Saccharomyces cerevisiae S288C: one gene and its partners. Changing the gene in region 2 together with the main gene of any one other region gives a genetic interaction. Each region holds a gene or a part of one and is shown on either strand. Other genes may lie near its edges. The genes, in order: DIT2, TVP38, POX1 and PMT6.

What was found.
Region 1: mutations in TVP38 (region 2) and DIT2 together harm fitness more than expected from each alone (negative genetic interaction), as found in Saccharomyces cerevisiae (2 studies listed by BioGRID).
Region 3: mutations in TVP38 (region 2) and POX1 together harm fitness more than expected from each alone (negative genetic interaction), as found in Saccharomyces cerevisiae (2 studies listed by BioGRID).
Region 4: mutations in TVP38 (region 2) and PMT6 together harm fitness more than expected from each alone (negative genetic interaction), as found in Saccharomyces cerevisiae (2 studies listed by BioGRID).

Annotation. Positions count from the first base shown.
Region 1 is NC_001136.10:1,270,915-1,275,680, forward strand, and holds DIT2 (putative cytochrome P450), read right to left. Parts: upstream 2,790-4,766; coding exon 1,320-2,789; downstream 1-1,319. Other genes in the region: URH1 (trifunctional uridine nucleosidase/nicotinamide riboside hydrolase/nicotinic acid riboside hydrolase), read left to right, coding at 149-1,171; DIT1 (Dit1p), read left to right, coding at 3,688-4,766. UniProt on the Saccharomyces cerevisiae protein: Involved in spore wall maturation. Thought to catalyze the oxidation of tyrosine residues in the formation of LL-dityrosine a precursor of the spore wall.
Region 2 is NC_001143.9:603,550-607,956, forward strand, and holds TVP38 (Tvp38p), read right to left. Parts: upstream 1,870-4,407; coding exon 856-1,869; downstream 1-855. Other genes in the region: OMA1 (metalloendopeptidase), read right to left, coding at 1-683; TGL4 (triacylglycerol lipase), read right to left, coding at 2,084-4,407. UniProt on the Saccharomyces cerevisiae protein: Golgi membrane protein involved in vesicular trafficking and spindle migration.
Region 3 is NC_001139.9:105,995-111,468, reverse strand, and holds POX1 (acyl-CoA oxidase), read right to left. Parts: upstream 3,312-5,474; coding exon 1,065-3,311; downstream 1-1,064. Other genes in the region: CHC1 (clathrin heavy chain), read left to right, coding at 3,965-5,474.
Region 4 is NC_001139.9:894,600-900,281, reverse strand, and holds PMT6 (dolichyl-phosphate-mannose-protein mannosyltransferase PMT6), read right to left. Parts: upstream 2,781-5,682; coding exon 501-2,780; downstream 1-500. Other genes in the region: Elongator subunit ELP2, read left to right, coding at 1-378; YPP1 (Ypp1p), read right to left, coding at 3,136-5,589. UniProt on the Saccharomyces cerevisiae protein: Protein O-mannosyltransferase involved in O-glycosylation which is essential for cell wall rigidity. Transfers mannose from Dol-P-mannose to Ser or Thr residues on proteins.

The DNA of each region.
Region 1 (4,766 bases), on a different chromosome or scaffold from region 2:
GCGATATTTGACACATACGTGACAACTACTTTTGATGGAATCTGCTGATTTTTTTACCTCACGAAACTTATTAAAACAGATAATTTCCCTCATCTGCAAGGTTGGGGAAGGGTTGGACAGCAATAACCAGCGACTGTTTGAAGAAAAGATGACTGTTAGTAAAATACCCATATGGCTAGATTGTGATCCTGGTCATGATGATGCCATAGCCATTTTATTAGGCTGTTTCCATCCAGCTTTCAATCTTCTAGGAATCAGCACGTGTTTTGGTAACGCACCGCCAGAGAATACTGACTACAACGCCCGTTCTCTTTTGACTGCGATGGGCAAAGCACAAGCGATTCCAGTTTATAAAGGCGCACAGAGACCTTGGAAAAGGGAACCTCATTATGCTCCTGACATTCATGGTATATCAGGTTTAGACGGCACTTCTTTGCTACCTAAGCCAACATTTGAGGCAAGAACTGATAAAACGTATATTGAGGCCATTGAAGAGGCGATTCTAGCTAACAATGGAGAGATATCCTTTGTGTCTACTGGTGCACTTACCACATTAGCAACAGTTTTTAGGTGTAAACCATACCTAAAAAAATCTGTCAAATATATTAGCATTATGGGGGGTGGACTCCATGGTCTAGGAAACTGTAACCCAAATCTTTCTGCTGAATTCAACGTTTGGATTGATCCTGACGCAGCGAATTACATATTCCGTGATCCCGATGTAAAGGACAAATGTATAGTAGTTCCTCTAAATTTAACTCACAAGGCCATAGCTACTTACAAGGTTAACGAAATGATATACAACGAAAAGAATAACAGCAAGTTACGAGAATTGTTTTTGGAGCTTTTTCAATTTTTTGCTCATACCTACAAGGATATGCAAGGATTTGAATCGGGCCCACCTATACATGATCCGGTAGCTTTGATGCCGCTTTTGGAATTTTATGGGTGGGATCCATCGTCTGCGGTTGGATTTCGCTACAAGAGAATGGACATATCCTGCATTGATGATGTTTTCAACGAAAACTCAGGGAAAATTATCATTGAAAAAGAATATCCAAATGACAGTGATGTTGGTACAATAATTGGTCTCGATTTGAATATCCAGTACTTTTGGGATCAGATTTTTGAAGCATTAAATAGAGCAGACAAAATGTCAACGATTGGATAAGAACTTCTATAAAAGGCTTTTTTTTTTTCTACTGACCTTTGGTCAGGTTCTGTTCCTTTCATTTTCACTGGATACAAAGAAGTTTCACTAAAAGTTGTCGCGATTGTATACATATATGCGTATATATACAATTCTACATGTTTTATATTTATTCCATTATATTCTCGTTAAATTTTAACTTTAAATTAAGAGGGCAAAGAGGCCCAGCGGGAGTTAATTTTTCTTCCCATTCAGGGTCAAGACTCCATCGAAACTGTTTCAACATTTCAGCCAAAGAAATTCTCATTTCTGTTAGGGCTAGTTTTTCCCCTAGGCATGCTCTTCGGCCTCCATGGAACCCAGTCACAGCACATCTGTTTTTCGCCATTCTCCAGTTTTTCCTTATGGTTTCGATATCTGAACCCCATCTTTCTGGTTTAAAATCATCTGCTGTTGTGCCCCAAGTTTTGGGATCGTGTGAGGTTCCAAAGTTGTTGTACCCGACATATACGCCCTTGGGTATAACAATTTCCGCCCCCAACTTGCACGTTTTGGTAGTACATCTATTAATAATTGTGCTCAAAGGAGGATACATTCTTACTACTTCGAAGAGAAAAGCATTTAATAAGGGTAAATCTGCTAAGCCTTTTGGATCAGTGATGCCGTTTACTTCCTTCCTGAGTTTCTCTTGCCATTCATTTGAATATTTGGCTAGAAGGTAGAGTGAACTATTAAATAGCAACTGCGGGTTTTCATGGCCAGCGACAAGGATAATGACGATATTATCGGTCAACTGTTTGTAGTCGATTATTTCGTTATTGTGAGCACGAATTAGATCACTGGCAGCAAAAGTAGTTTGTTCAAATTTGTAATTATTGACTAATTCATCTTGAACTCTTTTAACGAGAAGTTCTCTAAAACTAACAACATCCTTGAAGGCTTTTTTTCTTGAAGGAATAGGAAGAACATCAAGGAATGGAAAAGTTAAAAAGAATGGATGAAATATTTGCTTTTTAATACGAATCAAATGCTCGTGGAAAGCATTTTTTTCATGTGTTAGAGCACCAAAATCAAATCCAAGGGCAACCTGTGAAATGTTATCCAATGCCATTCTCTGGGATAAAGGTCCCATAGGGATCGAAGTTTGTCCTTCTAGGAGTCTGTTTTTTATCAAAGTGCATAAAATTTTTGCATTTTTGAATATAGGTGCATCGTCAAAATGTTGGAGCCCGTTTGTCACAGCATTTCTGTAGTTTCTCCAAACTGCACCATACGCGCTAATGACATTGTCCCCTGTGTAAGCGGCAAGAGCACTGTATGGGATTTTCTTTTGATTACCGCTCTTCGCAAAAGTATCTTCATCTTTGAATATTTGTGCTAGATACTCAGAACGAGAAACGAGAATATTCCACCGTGAACCAAAGAAAAATTTTACAGCACCGTATTTTTCCATTGATTCCCTAATATAAAGATCGTATAGCTCCGTTTGATCAATGGGAAATATTACTGGTAAAAATACTACATAAAATGGGATGGTGGGTATATTTTTGGGAAAGTTTAGAGGTGGGACAATGATTGCAAAGGCGACATAGGAAAGAGTAAGAAATAAAATCAAACACAGAAGCTTTAACAACTCCATTTTTAATGCTTTTTTCGATTTATTCTCTTAGTCTGAATCAAATACCATTTTGAAAAAACGAAAATATTTCAAGAAAATTAATGTATTTTTTTGCACTACCTAATATACTATTCGCATCAGGATGACCAGTCATTCCTCTTGTGGTCCGTGGCTTGTAATTTTCGGGAAAGATAGAAATCACTGCATTCATCGAAAGAAGTGAAAATAAATTGTATCGGGGAAGTAATGAGGGGTGGAATACGTAATTGCTTCTCAATTTGATAATACAAGTTACAGTCTTTTTATTGAGAGTCCCTGGAAGGAAAATTATTGATGTTTACCTTTTTTTGCGACGCGCGTCTGGCCATAAATAAAAGGGTTCTCTTGCCAAGAAAAAATAAAAAGGCGCCTTAAGGGACCTTCTATGACAAATATGGTGAGGTATGCAACCTCAATGAAGAGCAATGAGAAAATTTAAGGGGTAAGTAAGCATCGGAATTTGTTGTTTCCTAACAATTTGTCTAATTTACTCAATAATATCAGGAGAATTGATCGAAAAAAGCAAACCAGGAACCCCTCACAAATAAGGGAACATAAAGTAATTGCTCGTCTTTACATACATGGCACTCAATCCCAGACGTCGCGTGCTAAAAATCCTTATATTATTGGCCCCTCAGGAGTTTATTTGAATTTTGATTGCATTGCTTTCAGTGGACAGTATATCATAAAATTTGCAAGGGCATAGTGCCTGCCCTACGATGTTGTAAAACAATTTCTGAAAATAGGTTCAGAATCAAAAATGATGTATAAATATTGAAATAAATTTTCACATAAATTGTGCTCCTCCGCAAAGTCTTGACTAAATAAACAATTTGTTAATATCCTAATTCGGTAAAGCTTTGTCGAGACATTAACAAAAATGACATTTACTAGCAACTTGCCCTCAAGCTCCGAGCAGTCAATATCACCACCTGCCTCTTCATTTTCTTCATCGACTGATACGTTGAAAGATATTGATATTCCCCATAATGGGGCCGATTTGTCTACATATAGTAAATTTCTGGCCCTGTATTGCAGAAGCGACAAATGTGACGATTTTTACTCTTTAGAGGAAAAACAGAATTGTAAATTTGGAGACCAATGGCTCGACTTTATCAACACTATTCACAATCTGGACTTTTCTGAATCCGAAGTAAGTGGACGGGTTTCTGAAAGAATTTTGCCAGCTTCTTTAGCAAATAAATTTACCAATAATTTAGGAGTGGCAATAAAGATTTCTGAATATACACGCGATGACGAACGCCAGATTCGTGGGTGTGTTACAACAGTTGAGAATGAAAATTCTTTCAATAACTGGTTCGTATATCATATTTTAGACCAATCTCAATTATCTCTAAGTGAACATCCAATTGTAACCAAAGAAGTTAAGTATCACGAATTATTTGCAGATTTTTTTGAGAAAAATTTGAAAAACACAATAGTTAATGATCAATGGAATTTTGGTGGCCGTGATTATTTTATTGAACGTTCAAGATATTTTACCGATCGATATTTGAGAATTGAATGCATCTTGCCAGCGTTTCCATGTAAGTCATCTAATGAGCAAAAAGTGTACGGTTCCGTTCCTGACAAAGGCGAAGAACTCGCTTTGAAAAGATTAATAAAAGCCACACAAGACCTTGTCAAGATATATCCACCGGGTATGAAAATTTGGATAGTTAGTGATGGCCATGTTTTCTCCGATTGTATTGGGGTCGATGATGACGTCGTGAGTACTTACACGACCAAATTGCACGAACTGTATAAAAGAGTGGCTATACCTGGTGTTGACGCCATTGGCTTTTGTGGATTGAACGATTTATTTTTTAGCGGTGCAGCTAGTAAAGTTTTCGATCCAAAGTGGGTTAGTGATGTTGAAGTTGCACACTACACAGGAACTCAAATCTGTCCTAAGTCCGATTTGTCGAGACAGATTTTGATGAAAGGCTGTGATACAGA
Region 2 (4,407 bases):
AAACCCAAAAGAGAATATATAGGAGCCTTCGACAAATTTTCGGCTGTGTGTCTTGCTAGCTGATGAGCAAATTCGTGTGCTAAAACAGTGGCAATCCCATCATCATTAGCACAAATAGGTAAAATAGAGCTGAATATAAAGACCTTACCCCCTGGTAAAACGAATGCATTTGGTGAAGCAGTTGGATCATTGACCACATGAATTTCCCACTTGATTCCGTCCAGTAGTGAGTTGTCTACACTAGGGTCCTTATAAGCAGCTTCGACAATTTTCATGAAAATATTCTCAATTTTGATGGACAGCGGATGCTGTGGAGGTAATATTTCCTGCTGCGTTTGTCTCCAAATTGATTTGTATGTGTAATTTCCGATAGTTAACTCTAATGGACGCGATACCCAGATGAACCTGGACCTATCGCTTACCGGTGCTTTATCCAAATGTGTATAATAAAAGAGAGAGCATCCACCAAATAATAAAGCTAAGTATTTTCTTGATGACTTATCGAGAAGAATGCTTTTAAACGATGATTTTTGGGAATACTCTCCATTATTAAATCGACGATATGAAGGACCATTGTCATAGCGGTAACATCGCGTTAACTGAACACGAAATGATACAGGTTTTAAAAATCCTCCACTGGTCCCTTTTCCAAATCCTTTGAACCTGATGATGTTGCGTAACATTTCTTGTATTTTATCTTTCCATACCTTAACTTAGATTGGTTGATGTCGCTTCGAAAAACTGCTTTTTGTCTTTTAAGTTCTTTATATCGGACGTAGAAAGAAGTAGAAATAGTAATTTGGGTTACCCATATAAAACCAACTTATCTAAACATATATAAACGTATACGGAGGATTAGACCTCAAAAGACAATTCAGGTAGTTGATCAGTGGACACTTGACGGTCGCGGTTTTGTAGTTCTAAATATCTCTTCTTAGTCTTGAAGTATAAGAGCCATGCTGTAAGACTTAGGATTAATAATGTGATAATAATGCTTACCAAGTCAAATACCCTAGATCCTGTAGATTCAGATTCTGCGAGACTCTTTACACGAGAACCTATAAATAGATAGATGAACAGCTTTGGTGTGGTTATTATGTTGGCAATGGAAAAGTTGCGTACCGAGATACCGTAAACACCAGCTATGGCACCATTAGTCAAAGAATATGGGAAGGGACATAATCTCAGTAGAGCTAGAATCCAATAGCTATTGTTTTCTTGTAAAATTGAAGCCAATGCTTCAAATCTTCTATTCAAATGCACAAGCTTTTCTGCTCTTGAATGCAAGATCGTCTTGAACACAACGAAAGAGGCAATGGAACCTGTTACAGATCCCAAAGCTAGCGTAACCCATCCCTCAAAACTGACACCATAGATCAACCCAGTAGTGGTGGATAATAAGGAGTAGCCAATCATAGGAGGAAATGCGACAAAGAATATCAGAACCATTAATATAAAATGTGTTGACATCTTTTCTCTCAAATCGTTCGAAGTAACAACAACTTTATGTAAAATCGCATTATGGAAGACGAGCAACAATATACCCATTATCATTAGCATTATGCCGAGGAGGACAATGATAATCTGTTGCCATAAGCGTAGTGAATAAAAATAAAACTGTAATTTTTGAACATTCTTCCTGATATTATGCATCAATCTCTCTCTAGGGGACATATTATAAATGTCTAAAAAATCATCATCATTAACATTTACTTCGTCATTGAATGACAATCCAGCATTAGTACCAACCCTTTGTCCATTATTACTATTTGGCATGATATCGTTGTCAAAGTCTTCGAAATAGCCATCAAATTCATCATCCTCCCCTTGGCCCATATTGGCATTTCCTGCTTCGTAAGACTGACTCATTTGTGTAACCAATATCTTTCTTCCACCATAATAATATTTTCAAATATGTTGAAGGTATTGTTTTAGTAAAGTGGCTTTTTTTCTTAGTGCAGCTCGAGAGAAAACAATGATTTCGATTTCCGCTTTGAAAATGATATGAATGAGAAAGGCCATTCGAATAAATACATAGATGAAAAAGAATATCTAGAGGATATATAAGCAAGCCCGTGTTTTCTTATTGAGTAAAACTGGTGGTGCTTTTGTGCTGCGTTGAAGAAGAAGGCCTCGATCGAAACGGTGAGCTCTTTGTAGCTTGAGAAGGGGGTCTTCCATCAATGCTATGACGCCTGAAATTGCCCGCTAAATCACTATGAATCATTGCGTCTGAATCGAAGTTACTTATCAGTCTCAATGTAGGATGGTCTTCTTTATCCGAATCTGTGTATAATATGTTGCTACTGCTGACCCATTTTTTGTTCATATGCCTCAAGTATCTACTCTTTCGGCCAAAATGCAATTTCTTGTCTACCATGGCAGGTGTTTCAATGCTGGCAGAATGTGGGATAAGTTCATGGCTTTCCGGGTCATAGGTCTTGGCATCCATAGGAAACATTAGCCGGCCCATACTTGTTTTTTTCTGCAGAATTGGCGGTGGGTGTCCATTGATTTTGCTGGATTGCCTCAACATCCTTGATGTGGGAGAAGCAACTGAAAATGAAAAGGATTTGGCTGGTCGCCTTGAAGTTGAAATAGTATCTGATTTCCTTCTTTGGTGACGCGGATTGAGAGAAGCGGACGTAATGGAATACCGCGGTCTAAACCCGGAAGGTGACCGCCCATATGTGCTTGCATTCTCACGTAACAATAGCAAAGAGTTTGTCGATTCTGATTCTAATAAGTTGTCATCTAAAACATTGGAAATATGATTGTCACCCTTGGTTGGAGTCCTAGTTAGCAATGTTGAATTTTCTGGGTTTTTGGACTCATCTGACGTTTGCTCTGGAGCTTTAATTAATCCAATGACTGAATCAGCAAATTGGAAGGGGGTTTTTAAAGAGGAGGTGACAATCATCCTACCTTTGATATAAGAAATCGCCTTATCCAGAGCAAATTCCTGGCCACAGTGATTTTGAATAATGGAAACCTTGGGCCACGTAGCTTTTGCACCATTGGTGATTTCCCTTAATAAAAATTCTTTTGTTGGGTTTGACAACAGCTCCTTTATTCTAAAAAGCATACACATGTCGGGCAAAATAGTGATGTCACCAGAATATTGTTGAGATAATACCGATCTCAGTTTTGTAAGCGCGTTTTTGGCAATTCCCATCTCACTTCCAATTTCTAGAATATGAATAGCTTCATTGGCCATAAAATTGTATATACTTGATAAGTTTTGCTTTAATCTTGCACTAAATTCGTCCTCAATTTCCCCGCCAACACAGGATAGTGATAGTTTCAAAAAGGGAAATACGTGAATATTCACCTGGCATGCGATAATATGGTCTACATTAAACATTTCAGAAAGACGAGAAATGGGCAAGTCATTGTCCACAGAACCATCGACAAATTTGACCGAACTACTACCAGTCCATGGTTTCCTTTCTCCCGTTTTTGGATCTTTTTCGTAAAGTGGGCTCGAGGGGAAAATTCCCGGTAGTGAACATGATGCACATACGGCGGACCAAATCAGGACGTTTGGTGCAGTCAAATTATTCAGCAAGCGCGGTTGTTCAAATAAAGATGCCGGCGAAACGGTTATATTCAAAATTTTACCCGTTCTATTGTAAGCTTCCCTAAATGTCAAATCTCCCAAAAATTCTATCATTGTATTTACCAGATGCTTGTTATCAAACCACGTACCGTTTTTGAAGAACCTAGATATTTTTATTAACAAATTCTCGCTTTCACTTTTCTGTTTATCGTCTTTGAAAATGTTGAATTCTTTATCCAAAATATGATTTAGTAAAACCGGAATTTCTTCTTTGTGATGGACAGATAATATGCTTGCTACAATTGCACCAGCACTGCTACCACTAATCACTCTGGGTAATAAATCCAATTCAAATAGAGTACCAAGGACACCGATGTGGAAAAGACCAAAAGTTCCACCCCCACTGAGAACTAAAGCGGTACGACCAATATTTCTTCTCGTTTGTTGCAGTATACCCAAAAGGTAACTATCATCAAGATCAGACTCCATTAAAGATTCTAGCGCTAACCTAGACTCCATCATATACTCGTCAATTAAATATTTGGTGCCTACATGGGAGTGCCTATATAGGTTTACATTCCCCATATTTCCCAGGTTTCGTACCCAATTCGTCCTAATGATGTACAACAATTGAGCGTAATTCCTATTCAAGCGCTCCTCACGCATTCTAGATGTTAAATCTTTTATTAGCTTGTAATCATACAAGGGACTTTCCAATTTCTGCTTCCATTCTGTTTTCCCAGTGAGGTCATCCAATCTGGCGCCCGCAGAACACCATTCTTCAAATGACATCGCATGTTGCTTTTGTGAACAGACTTTGTCAATAAGAATGTCTCTTTCATAGTTTC
Region 3 (5,474 bases), on a different chromosome or scaffold from region 2:
ATTTACGTTACTAGTATATTATGATATTCGGTGTTAGAAGATGACGCAAATGATGAGAAATAGTCATCTAAATTAGTGGAAGCTGAAACGCAAGGATTGATAATGTAATAGGATCAATGAATATTAACATATAAAACGATGATGATAATATTTATAGAATTGTGTAGAATTGCAGACTCCCTTTTATGGATTCCTAAATCCTGGAGGAGAACTTCTAGTATATCTACATACCTAATATTATTGTGTTGATAATTAGAGGTTAAAAATTAGTATTAATGAAGAAGTGAGTACTGATCTTCTTATACTAAATAAGAGAGGTATATAAAACACACGCCGATTGGTCATATTAATCATGACCAATATAATAGTGATTCCGGTAGTTACTATACATTGATGTGACGACTCATATTCCTCATATATGTACCTACCATATCATGTTCAGCTAATAGGTCTTTAACACAGCTTCAGTATTGTCTGAGCTTCTCGTTTAACATTCCTTCTGCAATAGGCGCAATCACACTTAAACGTATACGATGTGTACATTAATATACGATGTAAGCATTAGATTGTTACCATAGCAACTCATGTCACTATTAATTACTCTCGTTCCAACATATTGCCTTATTAAAAATGGAATCCCAACAATTACATCAGAATCCACACAATCATCATGATGTTTTAGAGCTTCATTCCAACAAGTGCCAACACAGCACATTTATTATTTGTTATGTATATAATTCTGAGATATTGAGTAAACACTCAATAATTACCTGCCATCTTAGTATAGTGGTTAGTACACATCGTTGTGGCCGATGAAACCCTGGTTCGATTCTAGGAGATGGCAATTTTTTTACTACTATACATTGGTAAATGTAGTCATGTCATTGATTCGTCATAGTTATGTGAATAGTATTAGATATGTAAATAGATAGAGAGTACCGTTATGCACATAAGATGGCCTCTCACTAGGATTTTGTAACTTTTTGTTAAAACTTGGCGACACTAGTTGAATTGAAACAAAAGTCGCAAAACAGAGGGTTCGAAGGAAAACAGGAAACCTCTACTCACTTGTTTATTTTCGATAAAATTTCCGCATTAGCTGCACCACCTAACTTTTGGTCAAATTCGAAACCTCTACCGAGCATGCTGCTCAACAGCGCATGATAAGAAGGCTTCCCTGCCCCATCTGCCTCCACTGGATTATTGCGGCAAACTTCATTGAAGTAATTGTGATAGATATCGCCATCAAAGTAACCTATAGGAGAATTTAACATCGCGTCAGGTAATTCAAAGGAGTCTGTCAGACCTATACAGTCTTTCCTCACAATTGGCAAAAGAGCCAATAGTTGTGGCTGCACAACTTTAGAGATCTGATCAGGAGTGAAGATCTTGAATTGTTGGAATTCTCCGGAATGCTTGTCAATAAAATACAAGGAAAATAACTTATAAACATTCCACATAGATTCCTTTGTAATTTCATCGGAAATATGTGAATCACGAGAGTTTAACTTGTCGTAATAGGTTTTCAACATGCAGCGCAAGGCATGAAATTTGGATACTAAGACTAAAAGCTTAGAAACGCTATCAATACTTCTTGATTTTTCAACTAAAGTACCAATATGTGCCAGTAATTTGATTAAGGTGATAGACCAAATTTCAGTATAATCACCCAACTCCTTTAAACCACTCTTTATTTCTCCAGAAACCACAGATCCTATGTACTGAGGTTTTAAGTAAGAGAATGAGTCCACATCCAGTGTGTTGTCAAATCTACCCTTTGTGGCTGAATCGATAAATTTTTTCAATATTGATTTTGCTGAAGTTAAAGATAAAACATTATTATCACCCTCCCATGTGCACTGAACCACCCAGTCGTCATAGCCTTTACCAAATCCGTTATACTGTGAATACCCATGTCCTCCGCAAGTCTGTCTCAACTCATCAATCAGTGTAGCAATTAACCAAGTATTGGTGGCTTTCAAGCTGGCGCTATCAATAAATAAATTCTTCAACTTTTTACTCACGGTAACCAGAGCAGCTTTGTATGCAGATGAGGAAGCGTTGTATAACTCGTCCAAAGTGGAATAATAGTTGTCCATTAACTTAAAAGCTACAGGTGACACCAAATATGGAACACACAATTGTGGTAAAACACGATATTGGTGAAGGGGATAGTCGATTAATTGTGTTTCAGACAATCCCTTTCTAGGTGCGAATTGCTGACGACCAACCGCGTAACGTACAGCAATAGTAGCAAATTTGGAGCCAAACCTAAATGAATCCATGACCATGTTAACTCTACCACTTAACAATGCACTATAACCAGAAATTTGATCCAATTGTGGCTCAGTTTTGACGGTGACTGAACCATCTGGAGAACGGACAACTTTGGTAAATCTACTTAGCATAAATTCTCTAGGGATAACTACGTTTCTGAACTGGATCCAGCCATTATCAATACCGTCACGACCCATCTTCGCTCCAATATCCCCTATGGAAACACCAGCTAACAGTTGGAAAGTCGAAGGGTCTCTCAGAGGAACAACGAATGTTTTTACACCGTAGTCTTTACCTTCAACGATCAATCTGGCGTACACGGCAGCGTGCGTGGCAGAATGGGCAGCCCCACCAATCCACCATTTGGTGGCAGTTAGATCAGGTGTATCAATTACAAAAGTATCATTTTGCTTATCGTACACAGCCCTAGTCTGCAGCTGGGCAACATTGGAACCATGTCCTAACTCAGTCATTGCAAAACAGCCATATATACCTTTCATCAAAGTGGCACCTCTCTCCTGCAACCAATACCGGATTTGCTCATCAGTACCATTGCCCTTGATACAATTACCAAATAGCCCCAAGTGTACACCCACGCGCGTACCCAATTGAGGATCAATATTTGCTACAAGTGACAATCTCTTATCGAATATAAAAAGGTCTTTGTTTGTTAAAGGCGAAGCTTTGTCTGGATCATTTGCTTGCAACTCTTTCATCAGGTCAGTGTCGCGAAAGTGTTTGCGCACTGTTTTGATATCGTGCTCCATATAACTAGCAAGCCTAGCTATTTTTTTGGCAGTAATTTCTCTCTCTTGCATTTTTTTAGCATCGTAATAGTCCGTATCAGTTTTCAATATAGGATCATTCACTATTTGGTCTATTAAGGCGTGCGTCAGAGTTCTCCTCTCCGGGGATGACTCTAAAAATGTGTTAACTTGGTCAACTTTGATTTTCGAATCCGCCCTTTCTTTCTGGATAAATTTTTGAGGATTCAGAACCACCGAATCGGGATTAATAGTAGTACGTCTCGTCATATCGCAATACTAATTTATTATATTTTCTTTTTTTCTGTGATACTTATTAGTGTCAAGTGTGTATTCAAAAACGGAGAGCAATATTAGTGATGATGAGCGGAATGAGGAAAACTTTAAGGCCTGTTCAAGTTGTTTAAATAATTTTTACAGGTTAGACCTTTATAAACACTCTTAAAGCCCCAATGTATTAGTGCTTTGACTTAACAACGCCAACGTTCTCTTGTGTACTTGCTTGTAGGTGATTTACCCCAACGGCTATTAGCCGCTAATGACCGAATTCCTTTCGCTTCGGAGTTTAATCAACTAATACCGTAAATATAGGGCTTAAAATGTGTCAGGGTTTGAACGCAAAAAAAGGAGGTTTATAATAAAATATTAGCACATTATAGGTTTTAAAGTTAAAAAATAATAGGGTTAATTTTATTACCCTACCCCCTTTTTTTGGTCGAGATCTCGCATTTTTCGTCGCTAGGAATAAATACAAAGAGAATTAAGAAAAGTAAAAAGTGGAACTGAAGGAATCTACAGAAATAAGGAGATATTTTGATTAGTTGTTCAGAGTAACTTATTGAAACCTCGACAATCCGGATCAGAGTTGAGAGAGAAAGAAGATATTCAACTATAAAAATAAATTATCACGAAAGTTCTAACCAATGAGTGACCTACCCATTGAATTTACCGAATTGGTCGATCTGATGTCCTTAGGAATTTCCCCTCAATTCCTTGACTTCAGATCAACTACTTTCGAGAGTGACCACTTCGTCACTGTTAGAGAAACAAAGGACGGTACAAACTCTGTTGCAATCGTGGATTTGGCCAAAGGCAATGAAGTGACAAGGAAGAATATGGGCGGTGATTCTGCTATCATGCATCCATCTCAGATGGTTATTTCCGTTAGAGCAAATGGTACTATCGTGCAGATATTTAATTTGGAAACTAAGAGCAAGTTAAAGTCTTTTACTTTAGATGAACCTGTTATTTTTTGGAGGTGGTTGAGTGAAACCACTTTGGGTTTTGTTACCGCAAGATCCATACTGACCTCGAACGTCTTTGATGGTAACGTAAATGCTAAGCCTCAATTGCTTACCTTGAGACACGCTAACTTGAACAATACCCAAATTATCAATTTTGTGGCTAACAAAAACCTTGACTGGTTCGCAGTTGTTGGTATCTTACAAGAAAATGGCCGTATTGCCGGTAGAATTCAATTATTCTCAAAACAACGTAACATCTCCCAAGCTATCGACGGTCATGTTGCTATCTTTACGAATATATTACTAGAGGGTAATGGCTCGACCCCGGTACAAGTTTTCGTTACTGGTAACAGAAATGCCACCACCGGTGCTGGAGAATTAAGAATTATCGAGATTGATCACGATGCTTCATTGCCTTCTCAATATCAAAAGGAAACTACCGATATTTTCTTTCCACCAGATGCAACGAATGATTTCCCAATCGCTGTTCAGGTGTCTGAGAAATACGGCATAATTTACCTATTAACCAAGTATGGCTTCATCCATTTGTACGAATTGGAAACCGGTACCAATTTATTCGTTAATAGAATTACAGCAGAATCTGTTTTTACTGCAGCTCCGTACAATCACGAGAACGGTATTGCATGCATCAATAAAAAAGGTCAAGTTTTAGCAGTAGAGATTTCTACTTCTCAAATCGTTCCATATATCTTGAATAAATTATCTAATGTGGCACTGGCCTTAATCGTTGCTACAAGAGGTGGCTTACCAGGTGCAGATGATTTATTTCAAAAACAGTTTGAATCTTTATTGTTACAAAACGATTATCAAAATGCAGCTAAAGTTGCAGCCTCTTCCACTTCTTTAAGGAACCAAAACACCATCAACAGGTTGAAAAACATTCAAGCACCACCAGGCGCCATTTCTCCTATCCTACTTTACTTTTCAACACTATTGGATAAAGGGAAATTGAATAAAGAGGAAACAATTGAATTGGCTAGACCAGTTCTACAACAAGACAGAAAACAATTGTTCGAAAAATGGTTAAAGGAAGATAAACTAGAATGTTCAGAAGAACTAGGTGACATCGTTAAGCCTTTCGATACTACTTTAGCGCTAGCTTGCTACTTAAGAGCAGGTGCCCATGCAAAAGTTATATCTTGTCTTGCCGAATTACAACAGTTTGAAA
Region 4 (5,682 bases), on a different chromosome or scaffold from region 2:
TTAGAGTTTGGTAATGTTTTTGTCACCGCGTCCAGGGATAAAACTGTCAAAGTATGGAGGCACCAAAAGGAGCCAGCTGATGACTACGTTCTGGAAGCATCAATTAAACACACTAAAGCTGTCACTGCTATTTCCATACATGACAGCATGATAAGAGAGAAAATTTTGATATCGGTGGGTCTTGAAAACGGTGAGATTTATTTATACAGTTATACTTTGGGAAAGTTTGAGTTAATAACGCAGCTAAACGAGGATATAACACCAGCAGACAAAATTACAAGATTGAGGTGGTCACATTTAAAGAGAAACGGTAAATTATTTTTAGGTGTAGGAAGTAGTGATTTGTCCACCCGTATATACTCATTAGCATATGAATAGGCAATATCTATATCATTTCTCATGTGAAAAGAAGAGGATAATAAGTTAATGCCTTTATTTGGCATTATTATTTACAATTTTCGTGATTCTGTGTAAAGGAGTTGGAGTTTTTTTTTTTTTTACTAAGGTGCGATATCCCAAGTAGATAACCACTGCAAAGGTAAGTATTCCGCTTTATCACCATGCATACCCTGACATATTGGAGCAAATAAATTATAAATGTATATACATCCGCCAAACAATGACAAATAGATGGGATATTTGACCATCCAATGGACTCTTGTCAAAGTGAAATCAAGCACAAATCCGAAAACAAGCATTGCAAAATATAAAGCGGGAACGTAGTGATGTACATACGTCACTCTCCCCATCATTGCAAAAGGCAGATAATGTGTCATCCAGGAAATGAAAGGAAAAATACCCTGTATCGTTATTTGCCAGATTTGATCGTCTGAGAGATAAAGCGTTTGTCTCCTCCAACGATATAATATAAAAAGAATAATAAATGGGAAGATGATTAAGGAGACAGTAGAAATCCATGTATTGAAGGGAGATCCCATCAAGTAATATCGAGTGATATATCCCGCCCATGAACACATTCTTAGCCCTTTATGCAAGGTTGGCCATTCCCATGCATCAGACGATAAACTATCATATTTATCCTCATCAGGCACTAACGCGTTATTAGAGGAGGCCATGGCAAAATTAGTTAGAATAAAATCGGTCCAAAAATTGGATTTTGGTGGAACGTAATCTTCTGCGGTTTCTAAATTGTGGTTCCAGTGATCTTCTACATTCCACCAGGTCGATTTGTCCCTACGACTCCAGGAGTCTTTGCAGACGATTTCAGCTTGTTTAAATCCCCAAGCTGGATACGTCAATCCAGTAGAAGCCAAGTAACAACCTAAAACTTTGTGTCTCAACCTGAAGAAAGTAGAAACTGGATGTAAAATAGTTGAATTCTCATTAGAATAGACGGGATTTGGTGAATCCATTTGTTTCACAATCTCCACTATCCAATCATCCTTTTCATCGCCAACACTTTGTGACCCATAGCCTGAAACCTCATAATTTCCTCTAGAGACGTGAGAAGGTACATCATGCGAGTGAAGATTCGATCCTGTATTTTTATGGCTGAGACGAACTTCCACACCATCCGTTATTGGGATTATTTTGCCATTCAAAGTCCCGTTCTGATCTAGTTCCAATCCAGAAGACCTAGAAAATTCAAACTTCCAAACATTATTAGAGTCTGCGAATCCATATCCAGTGATTTGGCGCTGTCCAGAGCCTTCTGGGTATACTTGAATATGTGAATGCAGCAGATTCGGGCTTAAACCATGCGACCTTATGGTTAACTCTGACCCAAATGCTACATCACGAGGACCCGCCTCAATCTGAGTTCCCTCCAAGTTTATCTGAAATAACGTATTTGTAGTAGAATCCCCCGTGCCAGATTTGTACAACAACACAAAGTGAATTTTGAAGCAATAGAGATAGATAAGAAAAGGAATTACTATCAGATTAATGATTCTGATAAGCCAATGTTTGTAATATTTTATTCTAGGCAATTCTTTATCACAATAGAGCAAAAATAGTTCTATACATGTGTAGAGGCCGACTACAACTGTGATAAAAAGACCAACCCATTTCACAGAACAAACGCAACCAATAGATAAACCAGTTAATAACATCCATAACGACCATTTTTTCGTCATTTGTTGCTTTCTCAACGTATACAACTTTATCATACAGGCAAAAGTCGTCATCGAGAAAAAAAGCAGCATTGAATCTAGCAATATGAATTTTGAGAGGACAATATATGAATGTTCCAACGTTACCATCGTAGCAATCAAATAAACAGTAAAATAATTGAACCCCATCCATTTGGCTGTAAAGAAAGCTACTGGTGTACATAGAGCTCCAAATGTGGCATTAAATTGTCTCATTAGTTTAAAGTTTACGTTTTCCGGATATGCATTATTAGAGGAAAAGTCAAATTGACCGTCAAATCCTGCCATCCATTCGCTCAATGCAATAAGCATTTTACCAAGTGGAGGGTGGACATCGTGGTAGTACTCATGTTTGATGTAGTATGATCCGAATTTCCCAAAATGAGCCTCATCCCAGACAACATAATTGTTCTGATCTATATGTTGGAATCTTAGATAAAACGAAGTTATAGTTAATAAAAGGGGACCTATGACATCCCTTAAAATTTTCAACGCAGTGTATTCTTCATTTTTTTTTGTCCTATGTTTTTCTTCTAGTTGCTCAAAGCAATCTAATTGTTCATCTTGAATATCGGAGGCATTAGCTTTTGGTTGATTAACATAACGTTCGCGTAAGTTTTCATCTTCAGTATCAATTGATGAAAATCCCGTTCCCTTGGCTTTACTCATTGGTAAATAATAAGAAAAACAGTATGTTAGGACTATCGTTTGGTATATTAAACTGCCAAGAGAAGATAATTTAAAGAATTGTTTCAACGCGAAACGTGACTATAGCTAATGCTCTTTTCAAATTATTGAACTTATTACATTTATAAAAACGGGTAACCTAATAACGTCAAGTATATGGGCAAAACCGTTATTGAAGAGAAGATGTTCCATTGTTCATCAAATTAATATAAATCAATGAATAATATAATACAACTAGATTGAATTACATCTTTATGCTTTCTATGAGTATCTTTACACCAGAATATACTTGCGCCCATATGTATATATGTGTGTGTATATATCAGAAGAATTATCGTTAGTAATTGCAATACCTTAGGGAGCGAATGGGATTCAACTCTTGGTATTTAATACATTTTAGCAAAGAGTTTTTGTACTCGTCATCTTGATATTTCTCGTAAATGAGGGACAAATACCACCAAACTTCTGGGGAATAGTAAGCCTCGATCGATTCTAGTATTGCGCACTCCAATAGAAATTTTAGTCTTGCATACGCTGCTGACCTATCTGTGTCATTAACGAACGTAAGTTTGGCCCTCTTACCTGGTTTTTTATCAAGGCTGAGAGTATAATAACGCTCAAGATTAGTTTCCTCGACGCCTAGTTCTTCAGGGAAAATTAATTCAGCGAATCCGACCAAGGCATCTAAATTATTCTCATCATAGTACAGAACTGTTTCAAATTCCTTTAATGCCACGCCTGGTTCATCTTTTATTATTGATAAATAACCGTTAGCAATATTACAATTTAAATTCTTGAATTTACTTTCGACATTGGAGGCTTCTTTGATGGCGGCCTTGGCATCCTCATCATTGTCTTTTGTTCTCATGTACATATTTGCAGCAAAAATCCACACCATTTGTAAAAGATATTCTTTAGTTTGAGAATATTTGGGACCCATGCTGTTCAATTCAGGTTGTGAATCTGGAAATAATGTTGCGTATAATTCAAAGACCTCTGGAAGTGTCTCCAGTGCCTCTAAAGTGCCAAAAATTTCTTCAATTAGCGCCAATTGCGTTAATTTTAGGTGAATAAATTGCCATCTATCATTCAGAAGTAAAGTATTGTTCTGAAGACTTTCATTCATAGCTTCTAGAACAGAGCAAACTATCTTGTACGACATTTCCTTATCCTCTTGCACAGACCTACAAAGAGCTAATAGATGCCAAGCTTTGTAGTAATTTGGGTTTTTACTTAATATCAATGATTCTAGAGTCTTGATTGCAGTTTCAATGTGCCTCTGTTGTGCTAGAGTGTAAGAATATTTAAATTGTAATTCACGTAATGCCTTCTCCTCCTCTCCTTCTTCCTGCTCTTCTACATCAGCATTGTCTTTTTCTTTTGTGGACAGCATCATTGCATTACATAGATATGAAGTCAAATTATTAGATACAAGAAAATCTAACTGATATTTTCTGATTTCGTACAATGTTGACCACGCATTTGTTAGAACTTTCGAAATGTTTCCTGGGTATACACATCTGGTGCTGTTTTCTAGCCAATCTAAAGATTCTGATTGGCTCATTAATGGCAAATTATATTCTTTGTAGAAGGAATTCAAGGAAGTCGCAAACGTAGATACCGTATTATCGTAATCAAAAACATTTTCGATTGAATCGGTTTTGGAGGAGTTTTGTAAAATAAAAGAATACGCATCAATGAATGAAATTATGTCACGGTGGGAGTTATCGTGCAGTTGATAGTACTTGTCGTTGTATTTCACAAAATTAACAAAATTTAGTATAGATTCTCTTTTAAATGTCTTCTTCTTTATTTCGTCATTACTGTTATCGCTTAGGTTTTGGAAAAGAAACATTGCTGTTTTCGAAACTTCAATACTTTGAAAAGTCTTTTCCATTGAAGATATTATGAAATTATACCAACTGGGATTCACTTTTATTTTTTTTATGTGAGTGAATTTGAAATAATACTGCAAAAAGACATTAAAATGCTCCAAAGCTTCATCATTTGTCTCACTAGCAGTAGGAAATTTGGCCTTCAACAAAACGTTCTGTCCGAACTTCAAATAAAGATCATCATTATCAATGTGCTTTTTGAGAGGTGACTGGAACTTCTTTATCATGTAAAGGAAAAGAATAAAAGGATTTTCGACGGTAGTTTTAAAATTTTCTGCTAAATCCTGAATTTGATTGAACCTGAGTTTTGCGACGATCAAGCTGATGTATTCGAAAAGAAGACCGTTTGATTCGGGAGGGATCGTATCCACGTGGGCCAGTAGTTCTTTGTAAAAAACATTTTGCATGATATTTATGTCTTGCGAAACTAGACCACGGTAGTACAGGTTTTCTACGATCAAATACCTATCATACTGCTCCATAAGTGCTGTTTTTTGCGATGCAGTGTTATTATGAATTTTCAACGAGTGCAGCAAGCACCGCTGCGATTCCTGAAATTGGCCCCTGTGGAAGAAAAGAATACCGAGGCAATTGAACAGAATTTTCTCCACTAGTTTTGTAATCTCCGGATAGTCATTCAACTCCTCCATCATACTCATATTCTTTTCTAAATTTTGACTTTCCTTCAGTAAAACATCACAAACTGGTTTTGCAGGCCCATTCGATCCAATAACATGGTAATGTAGTCTAAACTGTAAGTTAAGTACGGAATCTAAACTATCAAACCCTGAATTGAAGGTGCTGCCACCTAAGAGTCGCGCTCTTAGCGCTTGGTCGACCACATCTATTATCTTCGATGGAACAGTAGGAGGAATCCGAACATTTGAGTTAGGCATTGGGCAAGTTGGTATTGAACTTCTTTCCAGCTGGCGTGTTCAACTTGTTCCTTCCAGTATGCCACACATTATGCCTTGCACACCTAAAGCACA